Stegostoma tigrinum: one gene and its partners. The protein of the gene in region 3 binds, or shares a complex with, the protein of the main gene of each other region. Links are inferred from orthologs where the notes say so. Each region holds a gene or a part of one and is shown on either strand. Other genes may lie near its edges. The genes, in order: sf3b6, htatsf1, sf3b1 and mybbp1a.

The links.
Region 1: the proteins of sf3b1 (region 3) and sf3b6 are in contact, whole or in part, in a crystal structure (PDB 2F9J), measured with the Homo sapiens proteins. The link is inferred for Stegostoma tigrinum from reciprocal best matches to the Homo sapiens genes SF3B1 and SF3B6. Residues at the interface, in NP_036565.2 of Homo sapiens: Trp388, Ile392, Arg395, Asn396, Arg397, Pro398, Leu399, Ser400, Asp401, Glu402, Glu403, Leu404, Asp405, Ala406, Met407, Phe408, Pro409, Glu410, Gly411, Tyr412, Lys413, Val414, Leu415; in NP_057131.1 of Homo sapiens: Arg12, Leu13, Pro14, Pro15, Glu16, Val17, Arg19, Ile20, Ala32, Met35, Tyr36, Arg46, Gln47, Ile48, Arg49, Val50, Gly51, Asn52, Thr53, Thr56, Thr59, Ala60, Tyr61, Val63, Glu65, Asp66, Ile67, Phe68, Tyr92, Ala97.
Region 2: sf3b1 (region 3) and htatsf1 share a complex: the UniProt entries of both Homo sapiens proteins name them as parts of the 17S U2 SnRNP complex. The link is inferred for Stegostoma tigrinum from reciprocal best matches to the Homo sapiens genes SF3B1 and HTATSF1.
Region 4: sf3b1 (region 3) and mybbp1a share a complex: the UniProt entries of both Homo sapiens proteins name them as parts of the B-WICH complex. The link is inferred for Stegostoma tigrinum from reciprocal best matches to the Homo sapiens genes SF3B1 and MYBBP1A.

Annotation. Positions count from the first base shown.
Region 1 is NC_081357.1:122,344,760-122,353,135, reverse strand, and holds the start of sf3b6 (splicing factor 3B subunit 6), read left to right. Parts: upstream 1-4,979; 5' UTR 4,980-5,086; coding exon 5,087-5,116; intron 5,117-8,376.
Region 2 is NC_081371.1:10,944,825-10,953,033, reverse strand, and holds the start of htatsf1 (HIV Tat-specific factor 1), read right to left. Parts: upstream 3,326-8,209; 5' UTR 3,219-3,325; coding exon 3,054-3,218; intron 2,092-3,053; coding exon 1,899-2,091; intron 186-1,898; coding exon 138-185; intron 1-137. UniProt on the Homo sapiens protein: Component of the 17S U2 SnRNP complex of the spliceosome, a large ribonucleoprotein complex that removes introns from transcribed pre-mRNAs.
Region 3 is NC_081360.1:31,792,786-31,800,278, forward strand, and holds the start of sf3b1 (splicing factor 3B subunit 1), read left to right. Parts: upstream 1-4,179; 5' UTR 4,180-4,249; coding exon 4,250-4,277; intron 4,278-7,493. UniProt on the Homo sapiens protein: Component of the 17S U2 SnRNP complex of the spliceosome, a large ribonucleoprotein complex that removes introns from transcribed pre-mRNAs.
Region 4 is NC_081380.1:5,286,685-5,294,466, reverse strand, and holds the start of mybbp1a (myb-binding protein 1A-like protein), read left to right. Parts: upstream 1-4,379; 5' UTR 4,380-4,401; coding exon 4,402-4,572; intron 4,573-7,570; coding exon 7,571-7,666; intron 7,667-7,782. Other genes in the region: eif4h (eukaryotic translation initiation factor 4H), read right to left, coding at 4,061-4,125. UniProt on the Homo sapiens protein: May activate or repress transcription via interactions with sequence specific DNA-binding proteins. Repression may be mediated at least in part by histone deacetylase activity (HDAC activity).

The DNA of each region.
Region 1 (8,376 bases), on a different chromosome or scaffold from region 3:
TTGCACGTAAATCTTTAAAATTATAATAAGAAAATTCACAACCTGTCAAATCATCCAAAAGTACATCTTGGCTGCATTGTGAATAAAACTACTTTTATTGCAAGGAAGTATGTTCATCTGTCTATTACATGGTGGTTAAAGACAATTTCTAACTCAATTCTCAAAAATGTTTTCTCAATGTTTAAGCCCAATTTATTCAGCCATTCATCTATGTTCTCTTTAAGGTCTGCACAGATCAAAGGGTGTGCTGATTTTCAAGTTCCAAATTCAGAAGTCGGTGCCTTGGAGGGCTGTGCATTGGCAAGAAAAATTACAGAGAACATTCATCATTATAGAATCCCTACAGTGTGGAAACAGGCCCTTTAGGCCAACAAGTCTACACCAAACCTCAGAGAATCCTATCCACACCCATCCTCCTAATCTACACTTCCCTGAACACTATGGGTCAATTTAGCATGGCCAATCCACCAAGCCTGCACATCTTTGGATTGTGGGAGGAAACTGGAGCTCCCGGAGGAAACCCGTGCAGACACTGGGAGAATGTGCAAACTCTGCATAGGCAGCTGAGATTGGAATTAAACCTGGGTTCCTGCCACAGTGAGCAGCAGTGCTAATCACTGAGCCAGTTCTCTCTCATTATAAGACAAATCTTTCACCATAGGGATCAATCTAGTGAATCTTCATTGGGGAGCTGCTTCCAATCAAGTATTTCCATTATAGCTTAGGAGCTTCTGTGGTGCAGTGTTAATGTCCCTACCTCTGGACTAGGTGACCCAGGTTCAAATCCTACCTCCTACCAAGAGGTGTAATAACTACTGTGCCATTATGCTACTTACTGTTAGGGCTAAAAGAATGAAAAGGTATGTGGAGAGAACAAGGTACTGAGTTGGATGATCAGCCATAATCATATAAAATGGAGAAGTGGGCTGAATGGCCAACTCCTGCTCCTATTTTCTGCAATACAAGAAGCACTGATATTGGTAGACGAACTGGTGATTTTGAGATACTTGGTTTTTCAGCAGCTCAGCATCCGTTTTCCTGTTCCATTTCTTTGCCTGCTTTCTATTTTCTAGCAAAGGAGACTTATTTTCATTTTACCTTAAATTCAAGGGTGACTCAAGGTTTTCACAGCTGTGGTCGTCACTGAACACACCTTCACACACTGGAACACATAAACTAGTGTTGGAATCGGTATTTAATTGTTTGTATATTCATGAAAGAGGAAAATCCAAATATGTTTCTCACCCATACTGCTCTCTCCTGTCATGTTTACAGGCTGGAATATAGTTCAATTTGTAGTCCTTTTTGTCCTTTTGAAGTCCTTCTCTTTGAAACTTTCTTGACACTCATCAGTTGTGACATTTGTGGGTTTCCTTCAATACGAAGGATAACCCACACAGGCTTACCAGAAATATCACAGCCTTACATTGCATAGAAGTTATATTCTCAGTCGTTTTAGCTATAACCACTCTTCAAAAAATGGTGTATTTAAAAGTTTAACATATCTAGTGGTGATCCATAATCTTAATAGCCCACGTCTCCACATTGCATGTTTATGAACATTAAAATCGGTAAGCTGCAGTCCATAAACGGCAGTAAGTATACCTGAATGCACCTAAAACAGTGCAGTCACCAATCAAGGGAAATATGAAAATAACACAAGTGTGAACTCTGGATAATATTATGTTGTGTCTTATTGTGAATGAATGCCATTAACTGTTCCCCCACTACATATGAACTCAACATGTACCTCAACCCATGATAAAACAGAAAGTGCTAGAGAGACTCGGCAGATCTGACAGCATCTGTGGAGTGTCATAAAGTCATACAGCATGGAAACAAACCATTTGACCCAACAAGTCCATGCTGACAATAATCCCAAAAAAACTAGTCCCACTTGCCTGCGATTGGCCCATATCCCTCCAGCCCGTTCTTATTCAAGTACTTATCCAAATGTCTTTGAAACATTATAACTGTACCCACAACTACCACTTCTTCTCAAAATTCATTCCACGCACAAAACTTTCTCTGTGTAAAATAATTGCCTCTCTTGTCCTTTTTAAATCTTGCCCCTCTCACTTAAAAATATGCCCCATAGCCTTGAACTCCCCCACCCTAGGGAAAAGACCCTTGTCATTCACCTTATCTATGCTCCTTACGATCTTATAAACCTCGATAAGGTCACCCCACCACCTCCTACGCTCCAGTGAAAGAAGTTTCAGCCTATCCAGCCTCTCCTTATAACTTTAACCTTCCATTCCTGGCCACATCCTGGTAAATCATTTCTGAACCTTCTCCAGTTTAATAAATCCTTCCTATGACAGGGTGGCCAGAACTGGACACAGTGCTCCTAACGGATTGAGTCTGGTATTATTTTTCTGCTAACTCTTCAGAATACATAATACAGAAACATTTAATTACTTGTGCACACTACAAACAGCAGAGACAGCAGCTCTGACGCTCCTCTCCCCTTACTTCCACACTAACCTCCAGTCTAACTTTCAGACTTCTCCTACTCCTCCCATCCCACCTCCCCACGACCCCACCATCCCTGCCCTGACCAATCTCTTACTCCAATTCAGTAGTACGGGGTGCAACAGTGGAGGTAGCACATAGTGCAGGATGGTGCCCTGCGGGCTGCATGTGGGAGCACACAGGTTTGTGGCTTATGCTATCGGTCATCAAGGAAAGTCTGTAACACTGGCAGCAAAATCAGTTACTGCACATAGAGGTAAATGTAAGGATTATCGTAAATTGGGCAGTTACTGGCATAGATTTCCAAGTGGAAATTTGATTCTCTTGGCTGTAACAGAGACCTAGCTCAAGTGCAGGGCAAGATTCGCTGGTAAATCTTCCAGAGTACAGGGTGTTTGGAAAACATAGAAAAGGGAGGGAGACAGATTTGGTTAAGAAGAAACTTTGTAGTGCTGGAAAAAGTGGACTCTTGATGGGTTCAAGGACAGTATCCATTTAACTACATCGAACAAAAAGGATACACTGCTAGTGTAGTTTATATCCAACTAAAGAAAGAACAAATATGCATGGAAATTGTAGAGAGATGCCAACATTACAGAGCAGTTATGATCAGGGACTTCAGTTGTACAAATTTAGGCCGGGATTTGGTCGTGTTAAGGGGCAGGAAGGGCAAGTATTCCCAACACCAGAATGTGTCCAATCCAACAAGGAATGATGCAATGTTGGATCTGGTTCTTGAAACTTGGGTGGGCCAAGTCGATCCAATGTCAGTGACAGACATCTAGGAGACAGTTCTGAAGAAGGGTCACTGGACCCGAAATGTAACTCTGTTTTCTCCCCCACAGATGCTGCCAGACCTGCTGAGCTTTTCCAGCAACTTTGTTTTTGTTCCTGATTTACAGTATCCGCAGTTCTTTTGGTTTTTATCTAGGAGACCGTGATCATTTTATCACAAGGTTATAAATGATTGTGAAGAATGCCATTAGTCAACCAGAGTAAGAAAAATTAATTGGCAGAGAGCCAACTTTAGTGGGGCAAGAATTGAACTGGACAGGTTGGAATAGAACGAGTGGTTGACGGGAAAAACTGGAAGATGCTCCCCAGGCCAGTGAAAAAGGAAAAAGATCAATCACCAAAAGGGTTCAATATTGCTAAGGAAGAAGTGTTGGATAGATGGTTGGTACTTGGAGTTGACAAGGTACCAACACTAGATGAGATGCATTCAAAGATATTGAAGGATATAAGAGTGTAAATTGTATAATCTTTCAGGCTTCCTTAGATTTGGGAGAGGTAACAGAAAATTAGAGATTTGCAAACACTAGGATCTTATTCAAGAATGGTTGTAAGGATAAGCCCAGCATTACAGACCAGTCAGTTTATCCATGACTTAGGAGTTGAGAAGCTTCCAAAACTATTATTTTCGATAGAATTAGTGGTCACATGGAAAAAAGATGGTTTGATTAGGTAAAGTAAGTATAGATTTCTGAAGGGAAAACATGGTTGACTAACATTGGTGATTTTTGAAAAGGTAACAGAAAAGCTCAATGAGGGCAATACTGTCATTGTGGTGTATTGGACTTTCAGAAGGCATATCATACCGTGCCAGACAACAGACTTTTGAGGAAAATATAGGTCATAGGAATAAAAAGGTCAGTTGCAATATGGATATAAAATCAGCCAAGTGGTAGGAAACAAAAAGTAATAGTCAATGGCTAATTTTCAAACTGGCAGAAGGTCTGCAGTGGAATTCCCTGTAGTCAATATTGTGTCCCTGGCTTTTTTTTAAAAACAAATATTAGTGATGTAAATCTTGGTGTTAAGTGAACAATTTTAAAGTTTGCAAATAACACAAAACTTGAAAGAGTTGTACTCTGAGGAGGTCGGTGTAGAACTTGAAAATGGCAGCGAATTCAGTAGAGTGAGCAGGAAGCATTGCATATTGACGTGGATACCCCACCATAGGAAGAACGTGCCTGTCTGGAAAAGAATGCAGAAGCAATATTATGAGTGGTTCCAGGAATCGGGAACTTCAGCTATTGGAACGGATTCAAAGAATTGTCACTGATTCTCTTCTGAGAGAAAGACGCTAAGAGCCCTTGTGAAGCTTTGTAAAATCACCACGCTGTGGAGACTTGCCACCAATTTGAACTTGGTGCGTGCCTTCGATCCCTGGTCTTGGGCCCCAACTGCAGGTATGCCAGCTGTGGCTGATACAGTCAGTGTTCAGCGATTGCCCCAGGAATATCCCCAGTGCCCAGGATAACCCTGCACGCAGGAATGGCTAATACCCCAGGAGCAAACAGTGCCTCGGAACACTCATTGCCAAAGGGAGTGTTGCAGGGACATGCTGCACCGCGGGTAATCCCACTGGGAAAGGGCACTCCTGGGACTCCCTGCAGCTACATTGACCTGGAAACCTGAACCTCTGTGACCTCCTGGTGACCCCTTGGAACTGGGCAACTCCCCGGAGCACGTGGCAGACGGGTGCGTATGACGCCAGGGCGCAAGGGGTCTGTGACGCCAGTACGCTGTTGCGTCGCCGCGGTGAGGTTTCCTGCGCGCTCTGATCGGCCCTGTGTGCTCGGCCTCTTGTTCCTACAGACCGGTCGCGATGGCGATGCAAGCGGCGAAAAGGGCGAACGTGAGTCCGCTTCTCTTTAGTCGTTGACCGCGCCACGCCCCCGGCCTTTCCCCCAACCGACTGCCGGCTCCATTCGATCTTCCGTCCGTCGTACGTTCAGCCCCGAAGCCGGGCTACACGCTCACCTCCAGTGAGGCGTCCCCTTGGCAGAATAGGATTGTCCCTCACGAGCCGCACGCCCCACCCCCACACTCCCCACCCCCACACTCCCCACCCCCACACTCCCCACCCCCACACTCCCCACCCCCACACGAATCCTCCGCTCCCCCCCGAATCCTCCGCTCCCCTCCTCCCCCCCCCGAATCCTCCCCCCCCCGAATCCTCCCCCCCCCCGAATCCTCTCCCCCCCCGAATCCTTTCCCCCCCCCCAATCCTCCCCCCCCCCGAATCCTCTCCCCCCCCCGAATCCTCTCCCCCCCCGAATCCTCTCCCCCCCCCCGAATCCTCCCCCCCCCCGCCGAATCCTTCCCCCCCCGAATCCTCCCTCCCCCCCCGAATCCTCCCTCCCCCCCCGAATCCTCCCTCCCCCCCCCCGAATCGTCCCCTCCCCCCCCCGAATCCCCCCTCCCCCCCCCCGAATCCTCCCTCCCCCCCCCCGAATCCTCCCTCCCCCCCCCGAATCCTCCCTCCCCCCCCCCGAATCCTCCCTTCCCCCCCCCCGAATCCTCCCTCCCCCCCCCCGAATCCTCCCTCCCCCCCCCCGAATCCTCCCTCCCCCCCCCCGAATCCTCCCTCCCCCCCCCCGAATCCTCCCTCCCCCCCCGAATCCTCCCATCCCCCCTCCCCCCCCCGAATCCCCCCTCCCCCCCCGAATCCCCCCTCCCCCCCCGAATCCCCCCTCCCCCCCCGAATCCCCCCTCCCCCCCCGAATCCCCCCTCCCCCCCCGAATCCTCCCATCCCCCCTCCCCCCCCCCTGAATCCCCCCCTCCCCCCCCCGAATCTCCCCCCCCCGAATCTCCCCCCCCGAATCTCCCCCCCCCGAATCTCCCCCCCCCCGAATCTCCCCCCCCCCCCGAATCTCCCCCCCCCGAATCTCCCCCCCCCGAATCTCCCCCCCCCCGAATCTCCCCCCCCCCCGAATCTCCCCCCCCCCCGAATCTCCCCCCCCCCGAATCTCCCCCCCCCCGAATCTCCCCCCCCCCGAATCTTCCCCCCCCCGAATCTTCCCCCCCCCGAATCTCCCCCCCCCGAATCTCCCCCCCCCCGAATCTCCCCCCCCCCCGAATCTGCTCCCCCCCCCCGAATATCCCCCCCCCAAGGGCGTCCCCTTGGCAGAATAGGATTGTCCCTCACGAGCCGCACGCCCCACCCCCACACTCCCCACCCCCACACTCCCCACCCCCACACTCCCCACCCCCACACTCCCCACCCCCACACTCCCCACCCCCACACTCCCCACCCCCACACTCCCCACCCCCACACTCCCCACCCCCACACTCCCCACCCCCACACTCCGCTCCCCCACACTCCGCTCCCCCCCCGAATCCTCCGCTCCCCTCCTCCCCCCCCGAATCCTCCCCCCCCCGAATCCTCCCCCCCCGAATCCTCCCCCCCCCGAATCCTCCCCCCCCCGAATCCTCCCCCCCCCGAATCCTCCCCCCCCCGAATCCTCCCCCCCCCGAATCCTCCCCCCCCCGAATCCTCCCCCCCCCGAATCCTCCCCCCCCCGAATCCTCCCCCCCCCGAATCCTCCCCCCCCCGAATCCTGCCCCCCCCGAATCCTGCCCCCCCCGAATCCTGCCCCCCCCGAATCCTGCCCCCCCCGAATCCTCCCCCCCCGAATCCTCCCCCCCCGAATCCTCCCCCCCCCGAATCCTCCCCCCCCCGAATCCTCCCCCCCCGAATCCTCTCCCCCCCCGAATCCTCTCTCCCCCCCCGAATCCTCTTTCTCCCCCCCCCTCCCCCCCCCGAATCCTCCCTCCCCCCCCGAATCCTCCTCCCCCCGAATCCTCCCCTCCCCCCCCCGAATCCCCCCTCCCCCCCCGAATCCCCCCTCCCCCCCCGAATCGTCCCCTCCCCCCCCCGAATCGTCCCCTCCCCCCCCCGAATCGTCCCCTCCCCCCCGAATCTTCCCCTCCCCCCCTGAATCCTCCCCCCCCTCCCCCCCGAATCCTCCCCCCCCTCCCCCCCGAATCCTCCCATCCCCCCTCCCCCCCGAATCCCCCCTCCCCCCCGAATCCCCCCCCCCCGAATCCTCCCTCCCCCCCAAATCCTCCCTCCCCCCCCCGAATCCTCCCATCCCCCCTCCCCCCCCCGAATCCCCCTCCCCCCCCCGAATCCCCCCTCCCCCCCCCCCGAATCCTCCCTCCCCCCCCCCGAATCCTCCCCTCCCCCCTCCCCCCCCTGAATCCCCCCCTCCCCCCCCGAATCTCCCCCCCCCGAATCTCCCCCCCCCGAATCTCCCCCCCCCGAATCTCCCCCCCCCGAATCTCCCCCCCCCGAATCTCCCCCCCCCCGAATCTCCCCCCCCCGAATCTCCCCCCCCCCGAATCTCCCCCCCCCCGAATCTCCCCCCCCCGAATCTCCCCCCCCGAATCTCCCCCCCCCGAATCCCCCCCCCCCCGAATCTCCCCCCCCCGAATCTCCCCCCCCCCGAATCTCCCCCCCCGAATCTCCCCCCCCCCGAATCTCCCCCCCCCCGAATCTCCCCCTCCCCCCCCGAATCCCCCCCTCCCCCCCCCGAATCCCCCCTCCTCCCCCCCGAATCCCCCCTCCCCCGAATCCCCCCCTCCCCCTCCCCCGAATCCCCCCTCCCCCGAATCCCCCCTCCCCCTCCCCCGAATCCCCCCTCCCCCTCCCCCGAATCCCCCCTCCCCCTCCCCCGAATCCCCCCGAATCCCCCCTCCCCCTCCCCCGAATCCCCCCTCCCCCTCCCCCGAATCCCCCCCTCCCCCTCCCCCGAATCCCCCCTCCCCCGAATCCCCCCCTCCCCCGAATCCCCCCCTCCCCCGAATCCCCCCCTCCCCCGAATCCCCCCTCCCCCGAATCCCCCCCTCCCCCGAATCCCCCCCTCCCCCGAATCCCCCCTCCCCCGAATCCCCCCCTCCCCCTCCCCCGAATCCCCCCCTCCCCCTCCCCCGAATCCCCCCCTCCCCCTCCCCTCCCCCTCCCCCTCCCCCGAATCTCCCCCCCTCCCCCGAATCCCCCCCCCTCCCCCTCCCCCGAATCCCCCCCCTCCCCCTCCCCCGAATCCCCCCCCCTCCCCCTCCCCCTCCCCCGAATCCCCCCCCCTCCCCCTCCCCCGAATCCCCCCCTCCCC
Region 2 (8,209 bases), on a different chromosome or scaffold from region 3:
CTTTGAACTGGCTATTCAAAATGCATCTGCAAATCATCAGAATCATAATAGTCATTCTATCATGGCAAAACTGGCCCAATCACACAAAAGTGGTTGGTTTTGGTCAACTGACAAGCAGTGTTCAACTCAGTACTTACCAGACACGTACACATTTGTGTTCCTCTGCTCCTCAACGTCAATCCAGCCTTTAAAAGATATATTTGCATTATTAAATATAAATGAAGCTATACAAAATAGAGGAGATAAACGAATTATAAGGATTCTGGTAAGTACTACCTGCTGCATGAAAACCAGAAAAGCATGAAACTGAACAATGGGGAACACACAGTTCTTCAAGTATTAATTCAGCATCTTTACAAATGTCAGAATCATTTACTTTGGAACTTGGGTGAAATAAATTATTAAAGTTGGTGAGACCAAGATTTGTCATGTTACATGAGTTGCAGCATTAAAACCAAAAATTTTGCCTTTTACTTTTCAAATTATTTATCTGTGAGAAAATTGCATCATTCCATTATCAGAAATATGACATGCGGACAATACTTTCTGATTGTCATTTTTCAGAGGTTGTTCAATTACATTTGTATCCATCTCAAGAGACAAGTTAAAGACAGCAATACAAGATTGACAAGTCAGCCTCAAAAATGATTTAATAAAACTGTTGCCAATGTCAAATCAAATTACAAGGAGATGCTCCAGTAGATTTGTTTGAACTGTTATCACTAATGCCAACATTGTGATTATTGGAATTAAAATTCAATAATCCATCAAGAACAAAGGAAAGACCATGCAGTCAACATAGCAATTTGCACAATTGAATCATTGAGATCTACAGCACAGGGAAGGCATGATCAAAATCAACCACCTACCTATTCTAATAGGCTTATGAAGGGTCTTTATGCCTTGGCACCACAAGTTTACTTTTAAATACTTCTTAGCATGTTACAAGGGGCTCTGCCTCTACCACTCTTAGCAGTGTGTTCCAAGTTCCACAGACTCTTGTTAGGTACATACACGTGTTTGCACATTGGTCAATTTGCAGTTTCTTCATGTACAAAGTACAAGCATTTCACTGTAGTGTCATAAACAATATTTGATATTGCCACATTGACAGGTATTAGGGCAAACGAATTTGAAGGAACATCTTTAAAAAAGGAGAAAACAGAGTCGGACAGGTTTAGGCAAGGAATTCCAAAGCTCTGGGCCTTGTTGGCTGAAGTCACAGGGATGTTCCAAAGGCCAGAATTAAATGACTGCAGATATATCAGAGGGTTGAGAGCTCGAAGTAGATTTAAGACATAGCTGGGGGACACGGCTATGGATGCATATGAAAATGTGCAAGAGATTTCTTAAAAGAAAAATCAAGACAGGGAAGCCATACCAGTCAGTATGTATGCAATCATTTCATTTCGGGGTCAAATTTACAACCAAAGGTGTAAACAGTGTGATTAAGCCTCAAACTGTTGCCAAGGGGAGGGATAATGCTTATGTCTTGAATTACTGTTGGTCATATTGTATACTAAATTATTTTACGAATAATCAACTTTGCATTTTAAATAACATTTTAGACAACTTTGTGTTTTACACAATTAACGCTGCCAGGTTACATTCACTACCGTTCCTGAAGATGAGACTGGCTGAGAATGAAAAAAACACCAGAGAAAATACATGAGTAACAGTAAAATTTGAGTGTGACTTCGGTAAAGTCTCAAAGCAAATCAGCGACAAATGACCAGGGCTCATCAACAAAATCAACGCAATAGTGAACTGATCTATATCCACACAGCACGGACCAGTGATCTACTCATGTGCCTGTCTAGTCCTTTAAATAAATCTAGTTTTCAAATCTGAAATAATATCCAAAAGTGCTAGAATGACAGGAAGAAAAATAGCATCACCGATGTCCACTTTTCTTTTCTCTCCTTTTTGCTTTGTTTCTTTAGGATCCCCTTGAGCTGCATTATCTCCTGAAGACTTTTGCAGAATGGCTGCTGTCTTCTGGGTTTCAGTGGTGGAATTGCCACTGTTCTCAGGGTCCTCTTCAACGTAACCGTAGTTTGCATGATATGTTGCAAGAAAATCTTCAGTGATCTGGAAACAATTGTTACGACAGGATGTGTACGACAAGTAGTTGAAAACTGTCAACGAGTTTAGAGCGGTTCTGGGTGGGTACACAAATAGGAAGGGTTTGGAGGGATATGGGTCGGGATGTGTGTGCGTGGAGATGGTACCAAGAATGTGCGAATAGCAAGGTCACGTAAGCTAGGTGGAAATGGAGGGTGTGGAAATGGAGAGTGTGGGCAGGGAGGGTGGGTGCAGACTTTGGCAGTGAATGACCTGGAAAAAGGTAGTAGGAACTGCAGATGCTGGAGAATCTGAGATAACAAGGTGTAGGAAGACTGATGTTTCGGGTCTAGGCCTGAAACGTCAGCCATCCTGCTCCTCTGATTCTGCTTAGCCTGCTGTGTTGATCCAGCTCCGTACCATGTTATCTCATATTATCAATGACCTGGAAAGGCAGGAATGGGTTCAAAAATCTGAAAGGTTCAGGTTTAGGGTGAAAGACCTGGGGGGGGCGGGGGGGGAAGAGACTGGGGTTGAAAGACCTGGAAAGGGGGGGGGTTGGTGATGGGGGGAGGTGAAACTGGGGTTGAAAGACCTGAAAGGGGGGGGGGGGGCGTGGGGTCTCGGGTTGAAAGACCTCGAACCGGGGGTGGGGGGGGGGGAAGAGAGAGAGAGAAGAACTGTGGTTGAAAAACTTGGAATGGGGGGGGGAACTGGGGTTGAAAGACCTGGAAAGGGGAGGGGGGTGGGATTGGATTAGGGTTGACCAAACTGGAAGGGTGGGGGATTGAAAGACATGGAAAAGGGGGCAAGGGTGGGATGGGGGAAAATTGGGGTTGAAAGGCCTGGGGGGGGGGGGGGGGTCAAGGACCTGGCGAAAATATGGTGGTGGTGGCGGGGGGAGAGAATTGGCTCAGGGCCGGGAGTGCGGCCTGCAGAGGGGTCATGGGGGTGGGCAGTGTTCCGCCCAGTCCCACCCCCGGCCGTACCTTGGGGAACCAGGCTTTCCTCTCCCAGTCCCACTCGAACTCGGTGCCCTCCGCGTCCACGAAAGTGCTCGTGCGGCCCCACGCCTCCTCGGCCTCTCCGCCCTCCAGCAGCCGCTGCAGCCGCAGCTGCTCGTGGAAATCGGCGTTCGCCTCCTCACCGCTCATCCTCCGGGCCCGAAAATTAAACACCAATCGGCCCAAAAATAAACGCGGTCAGCCGCCACTCTCTTAAAGTCGCCTTAAAGCACCTCGATACGCAGACTCGCCGAACTCTGACCTTCAGCTCCCTGTTTGAGATGTCATTTCCGGGAGCTGGCAGGGCCTGTGTCACGTGGTTTTGGTGGAGGAGATGCTGATGGCTCAGGTACAGGTTTATGTATGGTCTACATCAACCTGTTAAGGGATAGAGGCATGGAGCTGTACTGTAAGGAAACAGACCATTCGGCCCAACTTGTCCATGCTAACAAAACATGCTAAATTAGTCTAGTCCTATTTGGCCCATCTCCCTCTAAACTCTTGCTATTCATATACCCATCCTGATGCCTTTTAAATGTTGTAATTGTATCGGCCTCTGCCACTTCTTCTGACAGCTCATTCTATACACACATCACCCCCTGCGTGAAAATGTTGCTCCTTAGGTCCCTTTCATATCTTTCCCTTCTCACCTTAAGCCAATGCTGGCTAGTTTTGGAATCTCCCCACCCCAGGAGAAAAAGCCCTTGCCTATTTATCCTATCCATGCCCCTCATGATTTTATAAACATTGATAAGGTCACTCCTCGGCCACCATGCTCCTGGGAAAATAAGCCCACCCTACTCAACTTCTTCCTAAAGCTCAAACCCTCCAACCCTGGCAACATCCTTGTAAATCATTGCTGAACCCTTTCAAGTTTCACAGCATTCTTCCTATTAGCAGGGAGGCCAGAATTGCATACAGTATTCCAGTAGTGGCCTAGCCAATGTACAGCCGCAACATGACATCCCAACACCTATACTCAATGCATTGACAAATTAAGGCAAGCATACCAAATGCCTTCTTCACTATCCTATTTAGCTGTGCCTCCACATTCAAGGAACTATGAATCTGCCCTCCAAGGTCTCTTTAGCAACACTCCCCAGGACCTTACCATTAAATGTATAATTCCTGCTCTGATTTGCCTTTTGATCATGCAGCACCTCACATTTATCTAAATTACACTCTATTTGCCGATCCTCATCCCATTGACCCATCTGATCAAGATGCAATCGTACTCCGAGGCAACCTTCTTTGGTATTCACAACACCTGCAATTTTAGTACTTTAAACTTTAGCAGATGCAATTACAAATTATGAGGCTATGCTGGCCAAAATGCATTTGGAAGACAGATTAAAAAGGTGATGCAATAGAAGAACAATGACAGACACTTAAGCAAATATAACTTCAATGAAGATAGGATCACTTCTCAATAGAATATATGAGATAGCAAAGGAAGTTAAAGATAGTTATTATATTGAAAGAGGAAAGCGTACAATCCTGTGACGATTAGTTGAGGTAGATCAGAAAATTGGACAGATTTTAGAAAACAGCAAAAAATGATTGAGAAATAAAGAAATTAGAATCTAAATGTAACTAGCTAGGACCTCAATATCTAGAGGGTCCCAGGACTGTGAATATACTGGATCACCACCTGCATGTTACTTCCATGTCACTCACTGTCCAGATTTGGAAATATATGGCTGTTTCTTTTGGGTTGCTAGGTCAAAATCCGAAAACTCCACCCCTAAAAGCATTGTGAGGGTACCTGCAGTAAATAGACTGAAGCAGTTCACAGCATCTTATCAATGGCAACAAAGGGTGGGCAATAAATGGTTAGTGATGATTGCGTAAAATAAGAGGGCATGGAGAAGGGATGAAGATAACAGTTTAGGAGTTTGCTGACAAGAAGTAAACAGGAATAAATAAATAATTTTTGGGTTGGCAAAATGTGAGCAGCAGGATGCCACTGGATTCAGTTCTGAGGCACAACTATTTACAATCCACATCAATATATCAATGATTTAAATGAAAGGACTGAATACGTGATTGTCAAATTTGCCAATAACACAAAGATATACAGAAGAGTAAGTTATCAAGAGGAGATAAGCTGTTGTAATGTCATAAGATGTTGGAGCAGAATTCAGCCATTCGGTCCAACGGGTCTGTTCCACATTCGATCATAACCAATTAGTTTCTCAACCCTCTTCTCCCTTTAACCCTTAATCCCCTTATCAATCAAGAACCTGTCTTAAATGGCCTCAATAACTTGATCTCTGCAGCCATACGCAGCAAGAGTTTAACAGGTTAACCATCCTGTAGCTGAAAAAATCCATCTTTCTTTCAGTTCTAAATGGTCATTCCTTCATTCTGAAGTTCTGTGCTTTCAGGTCTTCGTTTCTCCTACTAGCGGAAACATCTTCTCCATGTCCACTCTATCCAGGACTCTCAGTACTCTGTAAGTTTCAATCAGTTCCTTTGTCCAGCTTGTTAATATATAACATGAATAGTTGTGGTCCCAACACGGACCTCTACAGAACTCCATTTGTCACTGGCTGCCATTCTAAGAAAAAATTCCTTTATCCCTACTCTCTGATATCTACCAGACAGCCAATCTTCTATGCATACCACGACTTTGCTCTTAGCACCGCATACTCTAATTTAGCCATCTGCAAAGGGAATTAGGTTTAATGAGTGGGTAAAAATTTGGCTGATCTCATATAACGTGGGACAATGTAAATTTGTCCACTTTGGCAGGAAGAATAGAAAAGCTGACTATTATTTGAATGGAGAGAGATCCTTCTATGGTGCAGAGGACTCTTAACATCCTGACACATAAAACACAGAAAACTAGTATCTGGGTAGAGCAAGTCATGAAGAAAAAAATGGAATGTTTGCATTTAATGCAAGTACACAGTTAAAGAAATCAAATGGCTTGTGGCACAATAGCAGTGGCCCTACCATTTAACCTGGAGGCTTGGGTTCAACTCCCACCTGCTCCAGATGTGTGTCATAACACATCTGAATAAATTAGTTAAAAATATCTACAATCACATAAGTAGAGATGTGTTACTGCAGTTGTGCTGGGACCACATATGGGGTACTATGTACAGTTTTGATCTCCTTACTCAAGGAAGCATTGTTTTGCATTAGAAGCATCTCTGAAAAGCTTCACTTGACTTATTCCTGTGGTGAAGAGGTTATCTTCTGAGGAAAGATTGAAAAGGTTGGTGCTTTAGGAGAATGAATGGTGATCTTATTGAAATATATATGATCTTGAGAGACTGTATAGAGGGCAGACATTGAGAGCATGTTTCCACTTGTAGGGGAGTGTGGAACTAGGGGAAAGAGTTTAAAAATGAGGTGTCTTCCATTTAAGGCTAAGAGGAGGAGAAACGTTTTCCCTCGAAGGATCACTGGTCTTTGGAATTTTCCTACCCAGGGAATAGTAGAGGCTGAGAAAATTTAAGTTGGATTTAGAGAGTCCACAGTGAGGGAGGATGAACGGGAAAGCAGGGTTAGGGCCACAGTCAGATTAATCATGATCAAATTGCATGGTGGAACAGCCCTGAGCTGCCGTACTGTCTACTGTTGCTTCTAATTCTGGTGTGGAATAGGGACAAGGGCACCGAACACTTGACAGTGCACGTGACACTTCTACCACCCTGCAAAATGGGACCAAGTCTGATGGTGCACAGCAAGGCAGCAGGCAGGGTGTGCAACAAAACAGAAGATGCTGGAAAAGCTCAGCAGGTCTGGCAGCATCTGTGAGTTCACATTTCGGGTCCGGTGATCCTTCCTCGGAACAGGGCAGGCAGTGAACTTCATGTTATAAAGCAGATGTTCACCTGCACATCTGCCAATGTGGTATACTGTATCCATTGTACCCGGTGTGGCTTCCTCTACATTGGGGAAACCAAGCGGAGGCTTGGGGACCGCTTTGCAGAACACCTCCGCTCGATTCGCAATAAACAACTGCACCTCCCTGTCGCGAACCATTTCCACTCCCCCTCCCATTCCCCAGACGACATGTCCATCATGGGCCTCCTGCAGTGCCACAATGATGCCACCCGAAGGTTGTAGGAACAGCAACTCATATTCCGCTTGGGAACCCTGCAGCCCAATGGTATCAATGTGGACTTCACAAGCTTCAAAATCTCCCCTTCCCCCACTGCATCCCAAAACCAGCCCAGCTCGTCCCCTCCCCCACCGCAACCCAAAACCAGCCCAGCCTGTCTCCGCTTCCCTAACCTGTTCTTCCTCTCACCCATCCCTTCCTCCCACCCCAAGCCACGCCTCCATTTCCTACCTACTAACCTCATCCCACCTCCTTGACCTGTCCGTCTTCCCTGAACTGACCTATCCCCTCCCTACCTCCCCACCTATACTCTCCTCTCCACCTATCTTCTTTTCTCTCCGTCTTCGGTCCGCCTCCCCCTCTCTCCCTATTTATTCCAGAACCCTCTCCCCATCCCCCTCTCTGATGAAGGGTGTAGGCCCGAAACGTCAGCTTTTGTGCTCCTGAGATGCTGCTTGGCCTGCTGTGTTTGTCCAGCTTCACACTTTGTTATCTTTCATTTTATAAGTATTCTGTTTCAGTCAAAGGGAAGATGGGGAACAGGGGGTCGGGTTGGCTTTACAATCCATCCTCACGTTGTAGCTGACCTTCACTTGTTAAAAGTGGACTGTCCCTTTTAAAATAGAAGAAATAAGAACTGAAATGACTTTGGAATGCATAAGGTAAAAAGCAAAGATCTGAGTATCTAGAGCAAAGATCTATTATCTGGGTAGAGAAAGTCTTGAGGAAAGAAATGGAATGTTGGCATTTAATGCAAGTACACAATTAAAGAAATTAAATGGCAATCATCGAGATTTAATCCTGAAACATCAACACAGCTAGACATTGTCCAGGGGAGAGGACATGTTTCCACAGACTCCTAAAGGCTTTTGCGCAGAAGCCTCGAAAACAATTTGCAGTACATAGCTAGGGTGGTGAATGCCTGGAGTCTAGACTCAAGGCATGGAACGAAGGCTTCAAAATGTTCAATAACCTGGTCAGAATGACATCTCCTACCCATTGCACCATGAATCATCCAGGAGCATTCATGAACAAACGTGATACCTTCTTAATAGGCAATATCTCC
Region 3 (7,493 bases):
ATTAGGGAGAACCCGAAGGCAGTTTACTCATACGTGAGGAATAAGAGAATGATCAGGAAGAAGTTAGGGCCAATCAGGGATAGCATAGGGAGCTTGTGCGTGGAGTCTGAGCAGATAGGGGAAGCCCTAAATGAGTTTTTGTTTCGGTTTTCACTAAGGAAAGGGACCTTGTTGTGAATGAGAACTTTGAGGAGCAGGAAAACAGGCTTGAACAGATCGAGATTGAGGAAGTTGATCTGCTGGAAATTTTAGGCAAACATTAAGATTGATAAGTCCCCAGGGCCAGACCAGATTTATCCTAGGTTACTCCAGGAAGTGAGAAAGGAGGTTGCTAAGCCGCTGGCGAAGATCTTTGCTTCCTCACTCTCCATGGGACTCGTACCGGAAGATTCGAGAAAGGCAAATGTCGTTGCTCTTTTCAAGGGAGGGAATAGGGAAATCCCTGGAAATTACAGACTAGTCAGTCTTAAGTCTGTGGTCAGCAAGGTTTTGGAAAGAATTCTGAGGGATAGGATTTATGACTGTTTGGAAAAGCATAGCGTGATTAAAGGGAGTCAGCATGGCTTTGTGAGGGGCAGGTCATGCCTCACAAATCTTATTGAGTTCTTTGATGAAGTCATGAGACAGGTTGACGAGGGTCGAGCAGTGGATGTGGTGTACATGGACTTCAGCAAGGCATTTGATAAGGCTCCCCACAGCAGGCTCATTCATAAAGTCAGGAGGTATGGGATACAGGGTGATTTGGCTGCCTGGATTCAGAATTGGTTGGCTGACAGGAGGCAGAGAATGGTTGTAGATGGTGAGTATTCTGCCTGGATGTCAGTGCTGAGTGGTGTCCCACAGGGCTCTGTTCTTGGGCCTCTGCTCTTTGTAGTTTTTATAAATGACTTGGATGAGGAGGGTGAGGGGTGGGTTAGTATGTTTGCTGATGACACAAAGGTTGGAGGTGCCGTTGATAGTATCGAGGGCTATTGCAGGCTTCAACGAGACATTGACAGTATGCAGAGCTGGACTGAGAAATGGCAGATGGATTTCAACCTGGATAAATGCAAAGTGATGCATTTTGGAAGGTCGAACTTAAATGCTGAATATAGGATTAAAGGCAGGATTCTCGGCACTGTGGAGGAACAGCGGGATCTTGGTGTTCAAGTGCATAGCTCCCTCAAAGTTGCAACCAAGGTGGATAAGGTTGTTATGAAAGCATATGGTGTTTTGGCTTTCAGTAACAGGGGGATCGAGTTTAAGAGCAGCGAGGTTATGCTGCAGCTCTACAAAAGCCTGGTGAGACCACACTTGGAAGATTGTGTCCAGTTCTGGTTGCCCTATTATAGGAAAGATTTGGAGGCTTTGGAGAGGGTGCAAAGGAGGTTTACCAGGATGCTGCCTGGACTGGAGGGCTTGTCTTACGAGGAGAGGTTGACTGAGCTCGGACTTTTCTCTCTGGAGAGAAGGAGGAAGAGAGGTGACCTGATCGAGGTGTACAAGGTAATGAGAGGCATGGATAGAGTCGATAGCCAGAGACTTTTCCCCAGGGCAGGATTTACATGCCAGGAGGGGTCATAGTTTTAAGGTGTTAGGAGGAAGGTATAGAGGAGGCGTCAGAGGGAGGTGCTTCACCCAGAGAGTTGTGAGCGCATGGAATACTTTGCCAGTGGTAGTCGTGGAAGCGGAGTCATTAGTGACATTTAAGCGACTGCTGGACATGCACATGGACAGCAGTGAATTGAGTGGAATGTAGGTGAGGTTATTTTATTTTTGGATTAGGATTATTCCACGGCACAACATGGTGGGCTGTAGGGCCTGTACTGTGCTGTACTTTTTTATGTTCTAATTATATGCCGTTATTCAGCATAATGGCGAACATTAAAAGCGTTCTTTATTTGGCTGTGATTCTTGGTAAAGAGATGAATATGTCTAAATATTAATTGGCCCCTGATTTCAAATGTTGATCATTCCTTGTGTGAGACTTTCCTCATATCAGTCCTAAATTTACCATTCACTTGATGTAACTTTCACCTGTCTCCTTGTTTTACCTTATAATTTAACTGCAAACAATATTTTATATTGATATTTTATTTGCTTTTCCATTCATCTCTGTTAGTTCACCTTTTTGCATACTTTTTATGAATGACATCACAAACACAACATGGAAACCAATCATTCTGATCTGCTAGTTTGCGTTGAGGTTTTCCTTGCTCAAAAATTAATCCTGATTTTGTACCCATTCTGTTGCAATATTCCTTTCACTCCCTTTTTATTCAACCATTTGTTTAAACTTTGACATCAGGAATCCACCTCATAGTTTGTATTTGCATTATCTCAAGTGTTGTTAGTGGGTAAGGTAGTTTCACAGTCATCTGACCCAAGGACTGTAGAGTTCAAACCTGGCTTCCCTTGATTTGTATTCAACTTCTTTGGCTAGATCAATATTCTAACTGTTCAAATTGGTGAAACTTAATCCTCAATAATGAAATATCATCAATCTGAAAACATAAGCCTGTTCCTTTGTTCACAAATAGAATGTTGGGTATTTCCAGGATTTGTTGTGTTAATTTCAAATTTACAACATCCACACTTTTTCTTTGTATTTGTGATTGAATTACAAAGATAATGGGACAAATAACAAAAGATGGATCTAGAAGAGAAATAAATGGTTACACAGAATAGCAGAGGCAGAGGAGGATGGAAAATATCTCAAAAAAAAGTTCTCCTGGGTCTAGTAATGCGAAGAAGAAAACAGGGTTGCAGACCACCCTGCCAGTAAAGGAGATTTTTACCTCAGGCACCAACCTCCTTTACTCCCTGTGATTCTTGTGTATTACCAGCATCTGCTGTCCATAAATAAATTGAGATGATGGTTAAAATCCAAAGTCATTAATGTTGATTTTAATAATAGAGAATGTGGCAGCATGAGTAGACTTTTAGACACCTCAAACTTGCTCCACCATGCAATGAGATCATTGTTGATCCAATTGTAGCCTTATCTCCATTTCTTTCCTGTTCACCAGAGCCCATGATTTGCATGTGGATCAACAGATACCTTTTGAAAAATGAGCTGTTGTTCTTCATGTTTGTGTTGAGCATCATTGAAATTTGTAGAGACCTCTAAACAAAATGGCCAGTGTCAGAAAGGGATGGATGATTAAAGTAGCAAGTGACCTGAAACTAAAGGTCACACAGTAATTTGATTGGATGTTGATTGATTATAAAGTACCTTGGGAAGTGCTCAGTTTTGGAAGACATTACATAATCACACGTTCTTCTTTTCAGCAAAATGATCACTAAACCTGTGCTTAGGCTTCCTGATGTAGGGGACACTACATTACAACTGCTAAGTACAATATACCAAGTTGAAAAAAGTACAAGTAACTCCAATTTTCACCTGACAAAAATGAAATCATGGGTCACGGCCAAGAGAGGATGACCTCCTAAGTGTTGCACCTTCTGTGCTCTCATGGGAAGGTACTGGGGATTGTTGCAGAGGAAACAATTCCTTTCAGAATACTGAAAGAGAAGGGGAAGATGTGTTTGTGGTGGAGTTTTCAGACATTATCTGTTGATTGTGGAGGCCAGCACAGTGAAAAGTGAGAACAAGGGGAACTCTGTTATGGTTTTGGTTGAAATGGAAAGCGTGTAAGAAATGGGATAGATATGGTTCAGGACCCTATCAACCACAAAGGAGGAGAATCTTTTGTTGCTAAAAAATATTCATAAGCTGTGGTTACACCTCCCAGTTTACCATATTGTGTAGAGTTTCTGTTTAATGGTTTGTGCTTTACATTTGTGTGCATTAAATTTCATGTGCCATTCATCCACTTTATGATTACAGAAACATTAGAAAACTTCAAACTTGTGTTACGAAGTCACAGGTAGAATGGGTTTCAACACCATGCTCTACACAGTTGAAAAATAATTCCACCTATGTGACAGCAAAAAACTGACTGTCTCCTTTATATCCTATGAAATTCTCAAACAAACCAAAGAATATTGCAAAGCAGTTTGAAGTGAGGCATCCACAAAGAGAAGAAAACAATTTTCAACATGACATTGGCAATTTATTTTGTTAACAGGAGTGATTTGTCTGTCATCCCTTGATTTGTGGCATAGACATCCCTTGGAGAATAACAGCGCTGCCTAGAGTGAGCTCAGACTTTTGAGCATTGGTGCTACCGGGGCAGAGGAGCTGCTGTCAATCAAATCCCGGGCCCACCCACAGCATCGCGGGTTCCGCTCGCAACCGTTGTACAAAATGGCGAAGATCGCCAAGACTCACGAAGGTAATTGAGGGGGGATTATGTCGGACGGTGTTTTTATCAGTTTTTTTCTAAAATTAAAACATGGGCGGAATGGAGGTCACAAGAATGTTTCCGTAGGCTGTGTCCGTAGTTCCTCCGGTTGTGAGCTGTAGGAAATGTGGCTGCAGTTCTGATGAACGAGCGCTTGGCTGGGTCAGGAAATGGCGTCGCTCCTGAGAGCGTAAATGAGGGCCGAGGGAAGAGGCGCCAGAAGCGACCGAGCGACCCCGACACTCCCGTTCCACCGACCAGTTCTCGAAATGGGCGGCGGTGGGGGTACTGTCTTAGTTCGGGTGCCTTCACGACGCGCGATCTTAGTTGGGTTTTCGTTGGCTTGAGTTTTGTGGCGGTTGGAGTCGGGCAGGCTGATTGACGCAGTCTGCCTGCGGCCTTGTCAATAACGACGATCCGCCGCCAGCATCGAAAAAGAAAGCGACTGCCTGCATCATTGCAGAGTGGCCGGATTTAATGTGGAGTTTGCTGAGAAGGTAGATCTGGTTCCAACCCAATCTGTTTCTCTACATGGGGAACGAAGTGTTGATAGCGGTGCTCACGTGTTTTCCTAGTGGATGGTCTGAAGAGTGGCATTGTCGATAGTGAGGAAGAGTCATGGTGTCAATGTCTTTGAATTAAGCACCTAACTAGCCAACTTATTTTGGCATTCATATCGCTGTTCTGTTTCGTGCGTGGTTTACAATGCCTGGGTTGCTGTGTCCTGGATTTTTAAAATGCATCCTAATTCTTGCTGCATTGAGGATGCTTAACACAAGTTCCCGTAGCTCTGTGGCGATTTGTCAAATCGCCAACGTTTTTAGACCTTAAGCGACGGTGCTAACGCATCCAAACATTAAAACAAAATGTTTATAAAGTAAACGAATAACCGTTTGATCAACATTTCGTAAAGCCACCATGACTTATGAATAGTGTTGGGCATCGTTGCTTTATTTTACCGTGAAGGAAAAATACTAAATCTAACAGCAGAATGTGTTTGGAATACAGTTTCTTTCGCCAGCCGAAAGGTTGAATTAACGTTTCAAGTCAAGTACAGTATGAATTTTCTTCATGAAATGCAAATGAGATTCCAGTTTATTCAAAAACAGAAATTGCCAGAGAAACTCAACACGTCTGGCAGTATCTGTGGACAGAAATCAGAATTAACGTTTCAGATCCATTGACCTTTTTTAAGTATGGGAAATTGCTGACCAGGCTTCCCAAACAAGTTCCACTTGTCTGGATTTGGCCCATAACCCTCAACCTTACCTATTCATATGCCTGCTATAACTGTATTTACATTACCATTTTCCATGACAGTTCATTCTATAAATGCACTACACTCTTGTGGAAAAAGTTGCATCTCAGATCCCTTTTAAATCATTCAACCTTTCACCCTAAACTTTTGCCCCCTAACCTTGAACTCCTCAATGAAGTTTGCGTTTTCCAAATTTGTTTGCTTTTTCAGTAAGCGTGGAAAAGCTCGGTGTTCCTTGACTTTTTCCAAGAAATCACGTGATAAATCTCTCATTAATCAACTCAAAATCATCCAGATAGTTCAGTTTTCTGATTCTCATAATCCAGAAAAGTTTGCTTTAGTACAAGATTGAGACAGAAATGGTTTTCTTTTATTTTTATGCAACCATTAGGCATATTAGTTACTTGCAAAGTCTAATTTGAAGTGTCACAGTATCTTGATGTTTATTATAAACATTTAAATGATCACAGATAAACTTTGGAATTCGTAAGTTTTCTGGATTTTGTGAACTGCCTTTGGATGATATTTAAACCTATAGTCTGTGGTGTCAGTAATTCTCAATACTTTCAAAATCTGCATTATCAAAATCCTATCTGTTGAGATACCAATATTGTGCTATTAATTGTAGCATAATTCATACTGACTTCTGGAGTTTTATTTTCAAGTATGCCATAATACAACCTTTTATTTTACAACTGAATTACTTTCTTGACACTGGGCATTGACAGTCTCTGTGGATTCATGACTGAAACATTTCAGTTTGCAAGTCTTGACGAGCAAGCAGTAATGTCACAAATATATTTTACCAAAATAAATAATTTTAATTAAAATGTAATCAATTCTTCTCATTCTCTATTAATTTGTAAATAATGCTTCCCATTCTGGCCCTTTTTTTGGTCAAATCTGAGTCAGGTGCATTGATTCATTGTTCATAGTTGTGGTCTTAACTAGTGCCTTGCATAGTTTTGCCAAAAATTCCCTACTTTTATTCATTCTCTTTGAAATAAAAGCCAACGTTCCAATTTGCCTTCCCTATTACTTGCTGAACTTGGATGCTATCTTTTTTTGTGATTAATTTGCAAGAACTAATAGTGGGTGGATAATTTTGAAATTTGTGTTGTTGAATGAGGCTTAAATATTGTTGGGAATGCCTCCTTACTGCTTTTCAAAATAGTACCGTGGGATTTTTAACACTCATCCAATTAAACAACTGGGGCCACAGTGTAATTTCTCACCTGAAGAATGCCACCTCTGACTGTGACTTCTTCAGGCTTGGATTGGAGTGTCAAGCCATGATTTTTGTGCTCAAATCTTGGAGTGGACTTTGAACCTGGAATCTTGTGCTTCACAGGACTCATTGCTGTCAAATCATACAAGCTGCTGATGGTACCTTCATCAGTCTCCTGTTACTGAAAGTGTAGTCGTGAGATTGTCATGTCCTGCTTTTAATAAACCGGATATATTAGGCAATTTTCCATGTTTGGTCAATGGCACTATTTTAGCTGTACTGCAGCAACTGGCTAGGAACTCAACTGGGGTACGTGTTTTTGGGGACTACGTTTAGGATTTTGTTTGGACTTTGTTAGTTTTTGGGTGAAACCGTGACTTAATCTGCGAGCAAACTCACCTTTTTGAATGAGAAAATTGCAAGTTCAAGTGTCACTCCAGGAGTCTAGCACAACAGTGAAGGCTAACCATAATGAGAGTATCGTGATGTTGGCTGTGTGGTTTTTCAACACAAATGCACCCATAGGAATATTTCAAAATAAGAACAGGGGAGTTAGCCCTAGTCTTGGCCAATATTTGTTAATTAACGTCACAGAAACAGGTTAACAGGTTATTGCATTCTTACATGTGTAGTTATGGGAATTGTGTACATTGGCAGTTGCATTTCCAACTTGTAATTGCGATTCACTTCAAAAGTACTTAATTGGCTGTATAGTGCTTTT
Region 4 (7,782 bases), on a different chromosome or scaffold from region 3:
TAGATAAGTAACTAATGTAAGATGTTGTATTTTGATAAGGCACACTAGGGCAGGACTTATACAGTTAACAGTCGGACCTTGGGGAGCACTGCCAAATTGAGATCCAGGGATGCAGGCACCGTAGTGAAGGTGGTGTTAGCACGCTTGCTTTCATTAGTCAGAAGTTTGGTACGGGAGTTGGGACATCATGTTGCAGCTGTACAGAACATTGGTGAGAATATAGTGTAAAATTCTGGTCGCCCTTCTATGGAAGGATATTCTTAAACTTGAGAGGATGCTGAAAAGATTTACAAGGATGTTGCCAGGACTGGAGGGCTTGGGTCATATGGAGAGAGTTAATTGGCTGGGGCATTTTTCCCTGGAGTGTCAGAGGCTGAAGGCTGGCCTAATAGAAGTTTACAAAATCATGAGTAGCTTGGATAGGATGAATATCCAAGATCTTTTTCCTAGAGTGGGGAGTCCAAGGCTAGAAGACACAGGTTTAAGGTGAGAGGAGAAACATTTAACAAGGACCAGAGGGGTAACTTTGTCACACAGAGAATGATGGATATATGGAACGAGCTGGTGGTGGAGGCAGGTAAAATTACATTACTTAAAAGACATCTGGATGGGTATAGAAATAGGAAGGGTTGAGAGGGATATAAGCCAAACGCTGGCAAATGGGTTTAGGTCCGATTAGGATGTCTGATGAGCGCAGCTGAGATAGACCAAAGGGTCTGTTTCTGAGCTATATGACTCTCGGGGTTAATGGGGCCAGTGAGAAATGTGGCATGTGTTATTCAATGGTCAAGTGTACACCACAAAATTTTAAAAATATTTTGTGGTCAATCTGATTGCTGCTCTGGGAGAAATAAAATTTGCCAAGCAATCCACACTTCAGAATGAATGGTAACACCACTTTTCAAACAGATACTTGCCTGTTGAAAGCAACAGAGATCGACTGATCACAGTTTGTTATTGTCTGAACAAGTAAAGGATACCAGATGGCTTCAGTTTCACAACTGTGCTGTCAAAAACAAGTTACTAAATTGCACTTCAGCAAGATTTGAGAAGGCAAATTCTGGTCATTCATGAAACTAGGTTTTCTTGAAGTCTTTGAGACTGAGAATATTATATCGCAAAAGCAAAACCCAAGGTGATGAAATGTGAGTCCATACAGTTGCAAATTAACTGCAATTCATATTTTGGGGAGAACATTATTCTCAGTTCTGGGTAAGGGTGAGGAGTGGGTTAAAGTAGTGACAAGATGATAAGTGCCATCAAAGGAGGTAGAGATGGAAGAGGAGTAGTGATGAGCCAGTGAGCTGACTGATGGCATGGGATATGGGGTGAATGGAGCAAGGGGAGCAGAGAGGAAGGAGGAGGAGGGGCTGAAGTGGGTGCTGAGCGTGAACGCACTTGGCGGGTGGGGGGTGGGGGGAGAGTAGTGTGTGTCAGCAATGGCCAAGCAATGGGGGGGGGGGGGGGGGGCGCGCTGACAGCGGGGGGGGGGGGGGGGCGCTGACAGCGGGGAGGGAGGGCTGAGAGCGGTGGGGGGAGTGGGGAGGGAGGGCTGAGAGCAGTGGGGAGGAGAGAGAGTGCAGGGGTTGGGGGTGATGATGAAGGGCATAAACCTAAAACATCAACTTTCCTGCTCCTCTGATGCTGCCTGAATTACTGTGTTCCTCCAACGCAACACTGACTCCAGCAATCTGCAGTTCTTGCTAACTCCAAGTGGTTGGCGGTTGAAGGGTGTGGGTAAAGATTGAGTGGAGGGGGGAAATGAGGCCTGTGGGGGTGGATCAGCAGGGGGACTGAGAATTAAGTGTGCTGGGGGCTGAGCAGGTGGAGAGTTTTTGTGTGGTGCAGGGTTTGGAGGGGGTTGGGGATTTTGAGGGTGGGTTACGAATTTGTTGGGGGGGTTGTGGGGGAACTTTGTGCAGGTGTTGGGGATTTGGGTGTCAGTATTTCTGGGTAGTTAGAGGGTGGAATTGTTAGGGCGTAGAAGGTTTGGAGGCGTTAAATTTTTAGGTGGTAGAGGGTTTGAATTTTTTAGCAGGTGGAGAGTTTGGGGGGGGTTGAATTTTTAGGAGGTAGAGGATTTGAGGGGTTGAATTTTAAGGGGGTAGAGGATTTGGGGGAGTTGAATTTTTAGGGGGTTGAGGATTTGGGGGGTTGAATTTTTAGGGGGTAGAGGGCTTTGGGGGAGTTGAATTTTTAGGGGGTAGAGGGTTAGAATTTTTAGGAGGTAAAGGGTTTGGGGGAGTTGAATTTTTAGGGGGTAGAGGATTTGGGAGGTTGAATTTTTAGGGGGTAGAGGATTTGGGGGGCAGAGGATTTGGGGGGGTTGAATTTTTAGGGGGGTAGAGGATTTGGGGGGTTAATTTTTAGGGGGTAGAGGATTTGGGGCATTGAATTTTTAGGGGGTAGAGGATTTGGGGGGAGTTGAATTTTTGAGGGGTAGAGGATTTGAGGGGTTGAATTTTTAGGGGGTAGAGGATTTGGCAGGTTGAATTTTTAGGGGGTAGAGGATTTGGGGGGGTTGAATTCTTAGGGGGTAGAGGATTTGGGGGGAGTTGAATTTTTGGGGGGTAGAGGATTTGGGGGGAGTTGAATTTTTGGGGGGGTAGAGGATTTGGGGGGAGTTGAATTTTTAGGGGGGTATAGGATTTGGGGGGTTAATTTTTAGGGGGTAGAGGATTTGGGGGTTGAATTTTTGGGGGGTAGAGGATTTGGGGGGAGTTGAATTTTTGGGGGTTAGAGGATTTGGGGGGTTGAATTTTTAGGGGGTAGAGGGTTTGAATTTTTAGGAGGTAAAGGGTTTGGGGGGAGTTGAATTTTTAGGGGGTAGAGGATTTGGGGGGAGTTGAATTTTTAGGGGGTAGAGGATTTGGGGGGAGTTGAATTTTTGGGGGAGTAGAGGATTTGGGGGGTTAATTTTTAGGGGGTAGAGGATTTGGGGGTTGAATTTTTGGGGGGTAGAGGATTTGGGGGGTTGAATTTTTAGGGGGTAGAGAGTTTGAATTTTTAGGAGGTAAAGGGTTTGGGGGAGTTGAATTTTTAGGGGGTAGAGGATTTGGGGGGAGTTGAATTTTTCGGGGGTAGAGGATTTGGGGGTTGAATTTTTAGGGGGTAGAGGATTTGGCAGGTTGAATTTTTAGGGGGTAGAGGATTTGGGGGGGTTGAATTCTTAGGGGGTAGAGGATTTGGGGGGAGTTGAATTTTTGGGGGGTAGAGGATTTGGGGGGAGTTGAATTTTTGGGGGGGTAGAGGATTTGGGGGGAGTTGAATTTTTAGGGGGGTATAGGATTTGGGGGGTTAATTTTTAGGGGGTAGAGGATTTGGGGGTTGAATTTTTGGGGGGTAGAGGATTTGGGGGGAGTTGAATTTTTGGGGGTTAGAGGATTTGGGGGGTTGAATTTTTAGGGGGTAGAGGGTTTGAATTTTTAGGAGGTAAAGGGTTTGGGGGGAGTTGAATTTTTAGGGGGTAGAGGATTTGGGGGGAGTTGAATTTTTGGGGGAGTAGAGGATTTGGGGGGTTAATTTTTAGGGGGTAGAGGATTTGGGGGTTGAATTTTTAGGGGGTAGAGGATTTGGGGGGAGTTGAATTTTTGGGGGGTAGAGGATTTGGGGGGTTGAATTTTTAGGGGGTAGAGAGTTTGAATTTTTAGGAGGTAAAGGGTTTGGGGGAGTTGAATTTTTAGGGGGTAGAGGATTTGGGGGGAGTTGAATTTTTCGGGGGTAGAGGATTTGGGGGTTGAATTTTTAGGGGGTAGAGGATTTGGGGGGAGTTGAATTTTTAGGGGGTAGAGGATTTGGGGGGAGTTGAATTTTTAGGAGGTAAAGGGTTTGGGGGGAGTTGAATTTTTCGGGGGTAGAGGATTTGGGGGGAGCTGAATTTTTAGCGTGTTGAGGGTTTGGGTGTCCGGGTTTTGTAGGGTAGAGTGTTTGGGTGGGGGTGGGGTTGGCGGATAGAAGGGGATTAAGGAGTGTTGAGTGGGTAAAAGCCGAGAGTGGTCTCAGTGCAGTGCTCCCCCTCTTCCTGTCCCCGGCCCGGTAATGCACAGGCCCCGTTACCTACCCCCGGCCTCCCCCGAAGCTGCTGTACTGCTGCTGCCGCTCATCGTAGCTGTCGAAATCCGCCATGTCCCCGCTCGAGACAGGCTGAGGCCGCCAGGACCCCGGTACCAAGACAACCGCGGCTGCCTCACGCTGTGCCAGCAAGAAGTCTCCCTCGGAAGACGATTCCAAACACCCGGCTCCCTAAATCTCATTCTTTGGCTTCCAGACCCAACTGAATCAATTGTGATAAATTACTGTTGATCGATAGCTTGTCTGATCTCACATCTGGGCAGACGGCAGAGGGGAAAGAGGCAGCCAGCAAGGGTCATGACCTTGTCTGTGTGAGGACCCCGAGGCGGCATGGCAGCCGAGAGTGAGATGGGCAGAGAGGCCGCGCTGCAGAAATCCGTCATCCTGCAGCAAAACCGCCGTTTCCTCGACTTCTTCTGGGACATCGGCAAAGCCGATCAGAATTTGCGGCTGCGAGGGATCCAGGGTCTATCAGACTATCTCAGCAATCCAGGGAGCAGGGTGAGGCGGAGGGGGATGGGGGGAGCACGAGGTTGGGGCAGAGCGCGGGGTGAGGGAGGCGGGAGGAAACTGCGGGTTGGGGGGAGAGATGGAAGAGGGATAGAGGTAGAAGAACGGGTGGGAGGGATTTGGGGGGGGGACGGAGAGGAGGAGGATGAGGGGAGAGCGTGAGATGGGGTGGAGAGGGTGATGGGGGGGGGTGAGCAGGGAATGAGATGGTGAGGGGATGGGGGAATAGAGAGGACAGTGAGAGGGGAATTGGGGGGAGAGATGGAGGGGGGCAGCGAGAGGGGAATGGGGGGAGAGATGGAGGGGGGCAGCGAGAGGGGAATGGGGGGAGAGATGGAGGGGGGGCAGCGAGAGGGGAATGGGGGGAGAGATGGAGGGGGGGCAGCGAGAGGGGAATGGGGGGAGAGATGGAGGGGGGGCAGCGAGAGGGGAATGGGGGGAGAGATGGAGGGGGGGCAGCGAGAGGGGAATGGGGGGAGAGATGGAGGGGGGGCAGTGAGAGGGGAATGGGGGGAGAGATGGAGGGGGGGCAGTGAGAGGGGAATGGGGGGAGAGATGGAGGGGGGGCAGTGAGAGGGGAATTGGGGGGAGAGAGACGGGGGGGCGGCGAGTGGGGAATTGGGGGGAGCGAGACGGGGGGGCGGCGAGTGGGGAATTGGGGGGAGCGAGACAGGGGGCGGTGAGAGGGGAATCGGGGGGAGAGAGACGGGGGGGCGGCGAGTGGGGAATTGGGGAGAGAGAGAGAGACGGAGGGGGGGCGGTGAGTGGGGAATCGGGAGAGAGACAGAGGGGGTGCGGTGAGAGGGGAATCGGGGGGGAGAGAGACAGAGGGGGTGCGGTGAGAGGGGAATCGGGGGGGGGAGAGAGACGGAGTGGGTGCGGTGAGAGGGGAATCGGGGGGGAGAGAGACGGAGTGGGTGCGGTGAGAGGGGAATTGGGCCGAGAGATGGAGGGGGGCGGTGAGAGGGGAATTGGGGGGAGAGACAGGGGGGCGGTGAGAGGGGAATTGGGGGGAGAGACAGGGGGGCGGTGAGAGGGGAATTGGGGGGAGAGACAGGGGGGCGGTGAGAGGGGAATCGGGGGGGGGGAGAGAGAGAGACGGAGGGGGGGTGGTGAGAGGGGAATTGGGGGGAGAGACAGGGGGGCAGTGAGAGGGGAATCGGGAGAGAGACGGAGGGGGTGAGTTGAGAGGGGAATCGGGGGGGGAAGAGAGACGGAGGGGTTGCGGTGAGAGGGGAATCGGGGGGAAGAGAGACATAAGGGGGCCGGTGAGAGGGGAATCGGGGGAACAGGGAGAGGGGATGAGGGGTAGAGCAGGCTGAGAGAGATGGGGAGGAGAATGTGAGTTGAGGGAGTTGGGCAGAGGAGAGGGGGATGGGGTGCAGAGCAGTGTGAGGTGAAAGGGGCTAGCATGGAGAGAGTGGGGTGGGGGGAATAGCGCAGGAGTGGGGAGAGAGTGAGATGAAATTTGGGAGGAGAGGGAGAAGGGGCATGGAGAGGGACTTGAGGGCGGCGGCGGGGGAGTGGTTTGAGAGGGCTATGGGAGGAGAACGGGGTGAGGTGGATATTTGGAGAGGGAAGATTGTGGGGGGAGAATTGGGGAGGGGAGGGGAAGAGGGATGGGGCCGAGAGCTAGTGGGATGGGGGGGGGAGGGCGATGGGAAGGAGAGAAGGGACTGGGGAGAAGCATGGGGTTTGAGGGATGTGGGGAGGAGAGGGCAATCGGGGGAATGGGATGGAGAGCGGAGTTAGGGGGATGGGGGGATCAAGGGGTGAGAGGGATTTGGGGGAGAATGGGGGTGTGGGGGGGAGAACGGAATGAGGGGAGCACGGACTGAGAGGGATGGGGAATGGAGTAGAGAAATGGGGGGAGAGCAGAATGAGGGGAGTGGGGTGAGAGGGATGGGAAGGAGGGAGGAAAGAGGGGAATCGGTGGGGGGGAAGCAACGTGACAGGGTTGGTGGAAGGAGGGGACATGAGGGCAGAGCATGGTGTGAGAGGCATGTGGGGAGAGGGGGGTGTGGGGTTTGGGTGAGGAGGGGGTTGCAGGGTGAAGAGGGAGTGGCTTGGGAGGCATTGGGGAAAGATGGAGGGGGAATTGGGAAGAAGGGGAAGGGAAGTGGGTGAAAGGGGGGGCAGGGAAGAGAATGTAGTATGGGGGAAGAAAGAAGCAAAGAACTTGGGGGAGTCAGCGAGAAAGCTTGGTGTTTGCTAGGGATGCAGGAGAGATGGAGAAGGGATGGCAAGATTATTGGTGAAGAGGAGAGAGAGTGGGAGCTGGGGAGCAGAAGACTGAGCCTGCTGGGTGCTAGAGTGAGAGTGTTGGGAGTTACATGTGATGGAGGTGAGGATGTGGTGGGGGTAGAGAGAGAAAGAGAGAGAGAGCAAGAGCAAGCTGGTGTGTAGGGTGCAAGACTGGTGGATGCAGGGAGCCAGAGTGTAGAATTGTGCAAAGTTGAAAAGCTGAAATTGAGAGCAGAGTGAGGAGGTTAGGGCAAAGCTGTGTGAGACAGTTGAAAGCTGCAGGGTGATCATTGAGTGAGATGAGGACTGATTATCAGGGATAGCCGGGTGAGTTGAGTGTGTCAGAAATGAGGGTGAAGCAAGCCATGGTGTGGGATTCACGAAAGGTGGAGGAACCAGGAGCTCCAGTTCGAATGTAGGTATCTCTATCTCTAACCCTAGGCATGAATATTCTGGCGTGAAGATACTCCATGGAGTCTGGGCCTGCTAACACCACCTGGGGTTGCTGTTGAAGTACATGTCCCCAAAAGTATCTCCATCCATCCCTCTCCTTCAGCCACCCTACCCAACTCAAAGCCTGTCATTCCCTGGGTGGTCCATGGTCCTCACTATCCCCTCCGCTGTTCCTTTTATTTAGTTGCTATAAGTAGCTCGCTATTTGCCCCTTGAGGTTATAGCTGGGGTTAGTTCATTAGGGACACATTCATGGACAAATATCTATTAACTATTCCCTATCTGTTTTCAGGATGATGAGTTACAATATGCAATCAAGCGTCTGGTTGAAGGACTGGCAGCAACCCGCGAAGCAGCCCGTCCGGGCTTCAGCTTGGCCCTGGCACAGGTCAGTCTCTTGGTTTAACAGACATGTAATGCGCATGGAGCTGTACCAACTAACAGACTGAGTACACCGTTGGAGCAATTTAATTTCTGGTCCTGTAACTGCAAAACCTGACAACT